Drosophila melanogaster: one gene and its partner. The protein of the gene in region 1 interacts with the protein of each later gene in a biochemical or structural test. Each region holds a gene or a part of one and is shown in the gene's direction. Other genes may lie near its edges. The genes, in order: dpr13 and DIP-zeta.

What was found.
Region 2: the proteins of dpr13 (region 1) and DIP-zeta form a complex in vitro, tested with the Drosophila melanogaster proteins (one study listed by BioGRID).

Annotation. Positions count from the first base shown.
Region 1 is NT_033778.4:18,004,759-18,009,651, reverse strand, and holds the start of dpr13 (defective proboscis extension response 13), read left to right. Parts: upstream 1-1,749; 5' UTR 1,750-2,503; coding exon 2,504-2,618; intron 2,619-3,656; exon of another isoform or gene 3,657-4,257; intron 4,258-4,893.
Region 2 is NT_033779.5:9,068,130-9,073,231, reverse strand, and holds the start of DIP-zeta (Dpr-interacting protein zeta), read left to right. Parts: upstream 1-2,067; 5' UTR 2,068-2,400; intron 2,401-5,102.

The DNA of each region.
Region 1 (4,893 bases):
GCAGCAATCTGCGGCTGCGGGTACATAAAATAAAAGCAAGGCACCCAGCAAGTGTAACTTTTTATGTGCTCAGGCAACAGAAATCGCCGGCCATTTATACGGATACTGGGATACTGGGATACTAGGAAACTGGGCGGCCAGGGAGATTGAGTGTGGGTCAGTGTGCCAGATATCGAGTGGAACGGGGAAGGGCAGGGGAATTAACATACACGACTAGATGTTTGCGGGTCAGGTTTTCATTGCCTGATATATGGTTATGATTTTCCAACGGCAATTTGGCCAGAAGCTGCGACTATTTGTCTTCTTGGGTATTAAATTTGGATGGGCAGCAGAACATCGAACTCATTAAGTGAAATATTAGAGAGGCGTTCGATTTTAATTATTCAAAAGATCGCAAAGAGCTATGTGAAAGGAATTTAATGCATGAAAATTATTTAAAATAAAAATGAACGAGATCTGTATTCTTATTAAACAGTGGTCCATTGCATTTGACTTGACTAATATATCTGAAGCATGAAACTCAGGAATTTAATCTGCAAGACACTTTCCCGCGTTTTAGCTCAGCATTTCCCCGGTTTTCCTTGTTAGCCAAAGAATTCAAGCGGAATGTGACATTGCAGCTGGGCAGATGGCGCCTTCGACGCGAAAATGCTTTCACAGCCTGACAAGGTCTAAAGCGTGTTAGCCATTTATTAGTTCGGATTTCTGGCTAGCCCCAAAGTATGCAACCGACTTCTGCGAGCCCAAACGTGGCCAAAAAAAAAAAACCATGAGCTGGCTGAAATGGAAAGTTAAGTTCGCCCAGCTGAGGGCCCACAACTTGGTACCAACTAATTTCAGCACAATAACCCAAATTGAAGCGGTTTGCTGATGCTTTGTTTGCACCCGATTAGAGCCGAGACGCGTGACGAAGGTGCTTTCGTCACTCGGCGAAATGGCTGCACAAAATGAGAGAGCGATGAAAGCAGGAAGGAGAGAGAGAGTCCAACTATGCGCACAAACAACAAGGAGAAAGATAGAGAGAGGACCGGAAGTAGTGAGTTTGCGATAAATGTTTGCTATAAAAATCGTACCAGCTGTTCACTGAAGATTGACAATCCTAGAAGCTGTTTGAAAACAAATTAAAATTTCAATATATGCACTAAAAAAATTTAGTTTTTTTTGGCATAAAAAAATTTAGTGTCGGTATATGTAAAACTGTTAAGTTGAGCCTTGTTTAGGCAAATTAAGGATACCTAAAAGTTGAATGTGTTGTTAGCCCTAAATCATCTAATCATACACAATTAAATGAAATGGTAATCAAAAATATGGCAAGGATTTAAACCAAATTTAATGATATATGAAACATAATAACCTTTTAGCTTTTACCTCTTTTCTTTAAGTTGATATAATAAGGTTAGCTGCATTAGTTGCAATGTAATATATGTGTTAATAGAACAAGTGCTTAATAACAAAAAAAAAAAACTATAGTATTGATTGCCTTAAACGGAATAGTTGATATAAATTGAAAGGACTGGGTTTCGGTTTCAAAGGACCAATTAAGCAAACATTTCACGCGAACGCAAGATGCTATAAAACTTGAGAGTTTCCCCAAAAGGAAAATGAGAGAGGCAAGTCGAGAGAGAAAGAGAGAGCCAAGCGCACGAAGTTCGTGCAGACTTTTCCGCTGCTGCTGCTGCTGCTGCTGCCACTGCCACTGGTGATGGTGTTGCTACTGGTGTTGCCTGCTTTTCCTTGGGTCCTCGTGTCAGTCGCGTGCGAAAGCGTAAAGTAAACAGACAGGCGGCTAAAGCGGCAGAAGGAAAAGCAGCGAAGCGCTGGAAAAGCAGGAAAAAGCAGCAGCCGTGCAACCGAGGGCCAAACAACAACACCAGCGGCTGGCAGGCGAATTCCCACGCTGCTGCTCAGTCAGTTGAACTTTGACCACGGCGGTAACGGGTTCGGTGCGGTGCAGTGTAGTTTCGGTGCGGTCAACGCGGCGTATGCGCAACGTACATGCAACGTGAGCGCTTTTTTTGCGAAACTATAAATGATGAATTCCAAATGTGCTGGCATATGGCTGCCACGTGCCCCCAGCTAAAATGTGACTAAAGGATTACAAAAAAAAAAAAACGAGCAAGTCAAACAAAAAGCGAAAATGAAACAATGCAAAAAAACGCTTAATTAAAATATGGAAAGTTAATTGCAAATGGCGCTTAGCAATGTGGTCACATCAAATGGGCATAAATCAACGCAGAAAGTGCATTTAATTAGGCTTAATATAAAGAAAACATCAAATAACCGAAAAGTGTGGGCCTAAAAAAATAAACAACAATTAGAGCAGGGGAAAAAACGTTTTAATTAATGCAATGTCATCCAATTGAAATGCAAGTGCAGTGACAAATGAAATCAAATTAAAGCTCTGATAAATTGAATCACAAATGCAAAACAATTGACAGCTACAACAACAAGCGGAAAATAAGTGCAACATCCTCAGCGACACACAGCAACACAAAGCAACAAAATGCCGGCATCAAGTGGATTATATCGCATCAAAAATGGCCGTGTCCTTGACAGGCTGCAAAAACCAGCGGCACTCATTTTTATAATAGCATATATTGCGGCATGCGGCATTTGCGGTAAATATCACACACAGACATTATGACTTTTCACTAAAACTAAAAATCAAATAAAATCCCACATAAAAGCGAGGCGTAGAAATTACAGAAAAATAATGACGCATTTAATACTTTTTCATTTATTTATGCCGTTGATTTTTCAATTTGCATTCCGCTTATTCTGTACTGTTCACCGAACACGATTTAATTCAATTAGCGTCGCTGTAATGCATGAAATATTGTCAAAAGACAAATTGGCGAAATATGAAATTAAATGTGGCAAATATCACGGACGAGCCGCAACAAAGGCCACGAGATTGCCCAAGTCGAGAAATCGTTAATTTGTAACATTTCATTGCCGATGTCGAGTGCAGTGACAGGTCAGGCGATGAGCGCGGAAATCACCTGTGCATCACCTGTCAATGGCTGACACCGCAACAACGGCAATCAGGGGATTCCCCTGCGCCAAACGGCAACAGCAACACTTGTCTCTACAACTGAGCTCACTGAAAGCTGCCCCCTGTCGCCATTTCTCTCCATCTCTTTCGCGCCCTGCATCGCTATCTCTCTCTCTCTCTCTCTCTCTGTGTCTGACTGACTGGCTGACTGGCAATTTGTCAAGCAATCAACAAAGCCAGAAATTGCCCGGCAATAAGACAGAGCGAAAGCGGCAGAACGCCAGTTTGTCCAATCGGGAAAATGTGAATGCGAATAAACCTATTGAACACGCCAAAAGTGGTATAGAATATGCACTGCGATAAAAATATGACACCAGGAACTATCATAATCATCTCTAGTTGCATTAGGTATATTATGTTTCTAAACTATGATTTTTATGCAGGTGTAATCCTTTTGACAATCTCTTTATTCCCTTTTCAAGCTTTACGCATTTTAAACAAAATATCTTTATGAATATTTAAAAATATACATATAATAAATAACATATAGTCAATCGTTATATATAATAATTTAAATTATATTTTTAATATGCAAAAGCTGACTATGTATTCTCAAGAACTATTAGTTCTTAACTTACTTAAATAGTTACAATATACAAAAAATGTGCCTCTTATAATGTTTATAAATTGCTAGTTTATTTGTAAATAATGTTTATTTCTCGAATGCTTGAACGCAACATAAAATTTGGTCTTCAATTTAAGCGATTTTTCTCGCAGTGATTGGTACTCGACTCCAAGGAATACCGATATGTGGAACTAGTACACTGCTTGTGCCACATTTTGTGCGTGCCCCGCGTCGATGGGGGGAGAGGGTGTCCGTAAAGTCGTTGCTAAATAACAACAACAATGGCATAAAAAAGTGCCACGTCTTCACACACATTTGCACGCGCACACACACAGTGGGGCCCTGGGGCAACGCACACACACCGCAGCAACTGCGAGTGCTACTGGCGACTATCTAGCGCATCCATTGTTGCATGCCACACACCAACACAGGCCTTTTGGGCCACACACTCCTGTCGCTGTCGTTGTCGTTGTCACTGTCAATGCTGTAATGAAAAATGCACAAACACAAAAACGAAATACGAAAAAAACAAACAGAATCCAAAACTGCAACTGAAAATAGAAATAAACAGAGGCCGAAATAAATATATTCAGAATGCACGCCAGCTTAGGGCGATGAGTAAAAAAAAATAAAATAGACAAGCAATTTCAGCTGCGCCTGCCGCTTTTTATTTGGACCGCATTAATATTTAGCCAGCCACATGAACGTGCCTAGATATACATTAAGGCTCATATAAATCAATATTTATGCCAGCGGTGCATGTCTGTGGATCGAGCCATGGGATTTTTGAAGGCCAGCGGGGTCGCAGCAAATGCATTACTAGTCGCTGCACCCAAATCCGCAGCTCAATGCATCCAAATATTTGCATAATGTAACCAAAAAATATAAAAAAAAAATATATTTCTCCACTGCACTGCAGGCTATATGCTAAGCAGGGCGACCATGTCACTTTGGGGGCCAAAAATGTGCAGCTACCCATTCCCCATTTGAATGTTTTGGTTGTGAACATCGATATAAACATGGAAAAGATCGAGCGTTGCTAAAAAGCAAAACGACCAAAATATATGTAAATACTCTGTACAAATATTCACTTATTCAATTATTCACAATGCTTAACAAGCGGTTTGTATGACATCCCGTGTTGGTCATCTAAATAAGGTGTATTGATTTTACTTAAATATCTTAATTCCGGATGTCAGACTTGATATTTCATAAGATATATATCATTCACCTTCTCATATGCATTTGGTTTAGCACATTTTGTTTAAGAATC
Region 2 (5,102 bases), on another chromosome or scaffold:
CCATAAAAGGGTCTACAAATCTCCGCCCATTAAACTTTCGATTCTCATCTTTAATCTTGTTTTATTACTCGGTCGGATTTTCGTACATGTATTGTTTTGTTTCCTAAACTCAAATATCCCAAATATAAATCTTACCAGACAAGCCGGGGCAAAACTTTGCCGATAGTATTCCCCAAACTATTTTACCTCATTTGGGCAGTCCTTAGCAGAGAGACTAGACTGCAGGGCATACTTAACCAAAGTCGCAGACAAACTGCAAAAGAAATTGTGAATATATCTACACAGGAAAACAGGAACCAAACTTTCCATTTTCAATTTGCTGCAGACTTTGGCTAAGTACCAGAGAAGGAGGTCCAATATTTCCGACCGGTTTTGTATACTTTTTTTCCATTTTGTTTAGCTCTGTCTACTTAAACTCGCATTGAACTGGAAGAATAACATTGAACAGCAAACAATCAGCAGTCAAAAATTTCATTGTTAAGGCGGCAGCGGGAAAAAATAGCAAAACAAGTAGAGGGGAAAAACAGGAAACTTTCGGACAAGGCGTGAAAAATACAAAAAGACTGGGAAAGAGAGAAAAAAACTTTTTCCATGGTGAGAAAAACTTTACAAAGCAGCCAACAAAGTGTTGTAATGGCTGGCATCCAAAGGGATCCCCCGTCCAACGCTTGACTTTTGACCCAACGAAGCGAATGTGTTGCAACGACCTTTGTGGCCTTTCCGCCTCCGCCTCCTCATTCGCCATCACCTAATCCACCCGCTCCACCCACTCTTCCTGTTTTGGTCACATCCTGGCGCAACAGTCGACCACGCCCACTCGCCGCCCTATCACCTCTGGGATTCCCCCCACAATGAACTTGCCAAGCGATGGTGCACGTTTCTCCTTGGGTGTGTGGTGTGTAGAGGAATCCCAGGGAGAGGGTCACAGAGCAGTCATCTTGTCTGCCGTCTAGCCTTGTCAGTTTTAATGTTTTTGGCATTGAGCGATGTCTGTGATTTGAAAGAGTTCATTAAGATAGTTCAGTATGGCCAACAGGGAGAATTCATCACTCTCATATCGCATACAATCCGTCTATATATAGACTAACTTTCAGACGGATATGCATCGTTTTTTTTTCCTTCTGCACAACTGACCAGTGCTTGTCGAGATGATTACAGTGCCCTTAAAACAAGGTCTAGTTAAAAAATAGCAAAACTTTTTTCGTGCACCTAATTTAATAGGATAAAATCATCATGAAATACTTCAAAAAATAAGTAACTAAAAATATTATCTGTCTAACCATTCAAAAATACCACTGTTAACTTTGAAAAGAACTTCTTAATTAACCGTCTACCAACTGACAACCAGCTTTGCTAGCTCAGTCAGTCATAAAACGCAATTATCACCCTCAATTAGATGGTCCTGCATCAGCGAAAATCGAATAAGCAACGCTTGCAAATTGAATATCTCAAATTAATTGCACTTTTTTCGCTCAACATACGCACATGGACTTGAAATGAAATGCAAATAAATTTAATTAACTTGTCTAATTAAATACTTGGCTCCAAATAGCAATATGCAGCAACCAACGGAAAGCAAAAATGTGTTTTGATTTTGTTTTCATTTTATCTTAATTCAATTATTATTAAAAGGGTACAGCTTCAGCCGGAACGAGCCAAAAAGGTTCGACGGCGGAATCGGCATGCAACTCGAACTTTGAGAGGTGATTTTGGGGCATGGTGTTGCAGGTTGGACTCTGTTAACATTTTTGTCGCGTGTTTTGCGGTCTGTTGTTGTGGTTGCGGTTGCACGCAAACAACAAGCCTCCGAACATAACAAGGATACCGGACATAACCAGCAACCGGCAGCAACAACTACCAATGAACAGCATCCAGCGTCCTTTGGTTGGCTTAAACCGAAGCTACACTTCGGCTCGCTCTGTCGGCCGTCGGCTCGTCCCCGCCTGTTATCACTCGGCCAACGCGGCGTATACGTAACAGCACTTCCCATTCGTTAGATTTTCCCTTATTGTTGTTGGTGGAAAGCCAGAGCCCGGCTCTGTGCGAGCATTAGGTTTCGTCGGCAAATCAGTTTCGCTACGGATTCTGCACGAAGCGGACGCGTTTTATCGGTGTTACACTGAAAGATCCCCGGCAAAGGGAAAGTCGTACTCAAGTGTCATGTGATCGATGCCAAATTAGAAGCACCTGACTCAATGTGATCGTGTTGAGAAATGACTTAAAAGTCGAGCTAAAAAACTTAGGTCCACTTGATTATAAAATTTAAAAAAATACCAAAACTTGTAAGCGTTTTATTGAAAGATTACAATTTGTAAAAGTGGTTGAAAACTTGGTATATCATACGTAACACAAAACTAACCTACAGAATTAAATATTCACAAAAATATTCTTGTAGTTACAGTATGTAAATTAATTATTTCAATACATGCAATTCATACTATTAAGGTCTTAAACAGAAGAACAATTTGATCATCGGAAAAGTCTTTTTTATTAATAATTCATAGAATAGAATAGAAACTTTATAAAAATATGGAATTTTAAATTTAACAAACTTTAGATATTATTTATAAATATCAGTGACAGAAGTATATTAAATCGAAAGTTCCAACAATTTTTAAAAGTGCGAGTGCCGGTTAGGATAAGTAATTATAAGCTATGTTAAAAATTGAAAATGCAATAAGGAGTTGGTTTAATGCGTTTGTTTCGTTACGCTATATATTATATTTATGTATAAAATCTTAATTACAATATATAATGTAAAAGGTTTATGTTTGGGACTGCAGATCATTCAAATGCAATTAAAGACTTCGATTTATCTTAGTGCGAGTATTTCAAATAACTGAACTCCATTTAATGGTTAACCACAGCTACAATCCAGACCACAAACTCACATGTCACTTGTCAGGCCCTCGAAATGGGTAAACAATTAACAGTTAACTCTGCTAATGCACATTTCATGCCAACAAAAAGTAAACAAACAGCGAGACTATCTCCAGGACCCTCGAAGTCCTTAAATCCCGAAAACTGGCAGACACGCACACAACGCCATTCTTCAATCTGTGAAAAATTCCCAAACAAACTTATATGCGAATAAATGAATCCACTAGAGTTCACTTTGGGACAACTCGCAAAAAAAATAGTCGAAGGGGAAATTTGTTGCGATTGATAAAGGACAGCAGTTGTTGCCACTGCAACGCAATGCACAACACACAAACACAACCGAAAACAGCAAGGCAAATATAAACAAAGAATTTAGCTTAAAAATACATTAACCCACTGCATCCATGAGAATCAGGATATGCAGGGAAAAGGGCCAGGACCCGACTGCCAACTGCTGAAAACTTGCATACTTAATGGAGTAGGAGATAGAGACAGACAACGCAGAGAGTACAGTGGGGCCTATGTGTTACTGGACACAACTGTATTCCAAATGCAGAATAAGTCTTTGAGTATGAATATTGTCAAAGCTCATTGTAAACGTTTCTTAGCATTTTGTTACAATTTATTAAAAAAAAAAAATATTAAAGAGAAATATTTAATTACAGTATACAACATTGGAAACTAATAGAAATTGTTGTAAAAATACTTTACATAATTTATTCAATATACCAAGACTTAGAATGGATCCACCACTAATATCAATATATCGGTTCTTATGGTCCAAATATTTTAATTCCATTTAATATATAATTAAGATTTAAATTATTTCATATTTATAACATATGTGAAATGATTCATTTTGTTGGGTATCCACTGTACAATGGTATGTTTTGCATTCAGGCATCATTGCAGATCAATGGCAATATGGAGCTGATACAGTTTGAGTAAGACACGTAAACACACAGAGCAGAAGAAGGATGGGAAACTCATGGATGTCAGCTGTTTCAGAACTTTTTTCAAAAGCTAGTGAAGAGAGGGCTTATTGGTTCTTTATTTATTTCCATCTTTTTTGAATTCTTTTTTGAGTTCAGCTTTGTTGCGTTTTGTTTGCTCGAGTTCGGTTTGACGTTTGCAGTTACAGGAACTTTACAAATTGTGTAGAGTAAAACAAACAAAATAGCAAAACTTTGATGCTGCTGATGATGATGTCGAAAATATGTGTGAGCTTTGATCATAAGTGCATATTTATTGGTGCGTTTATTTGGTAAATTTAGTTTCTATATTGCACTTCTGAAAATATAATAGAGTACTTTATCCAGATAAAATCAGAGTTAAATTGAGTCTAGTTAAGCTTGTATTATCCGAATAAATAGTAACGTGAACTAACGAATTTTCGATAAGGGAGAGATGTAAGTCCTTAAATAAAACCAAATTAAATCGGAATTTTATTTTCATGTATTTGTATTGTTTGCTGCCAAAATATAAGTGATAGGTAACAGGCACAACCTTTCTAGCTTGCTTCTTCTTTGAAGAACCTTTTAATGTAAATAAATTCGGCCATAGGTAAACATATCTTAATTCAATTTCGGCCTCCTTTGTGCTGCTTTCTTTTCTCCCTTCAATTACCACAAAACCATGAAGGTTAAAAGCTGTCAGGCATTTATAGAAGCTTAGGAGAAATCCCCTGAGAGCTAGGAACATTTTTTTTGGGCTAATGACTATGTCAGGATTAATTTACGTTTACACAGAATCTTTTAAAAAGAAAATTTAAACACCCAATAAAAAATATTATAATGGCTATGAACTTAGTCAGCATAAACAAATAAATGTTATTGTCTCTTTCATCTACGCACCCGTTTAGTTAAGTCCCTTTAATCCCGCAACAATTATAAGCCAATTTGTTTTACCAAAAAGTTATCATTATAAAAACAGCAAAAACCAAACAAACACTAAATAGCCCCATTAAAATTTAATTTCCTAGCATAAAAATACAAGAAAAACACATTCGGAACAAGTTTCTCCCTCAACAATTTATTAATTTAATTACAAACACTTTGCCAAACTCATAAAAAAGTGCATAAAATTTGTTGGACTTCTTGTTCTTGTTTCTGATGGTAAATCTGTTTCGGTCCATACCAAAAAAGCTTTATCATGTGTGCGTGGTTTTTGGGGGAAGAGGTGGAGTCAAAATTGCTTAATTTCATAAGCGAGTCATAAGGGAA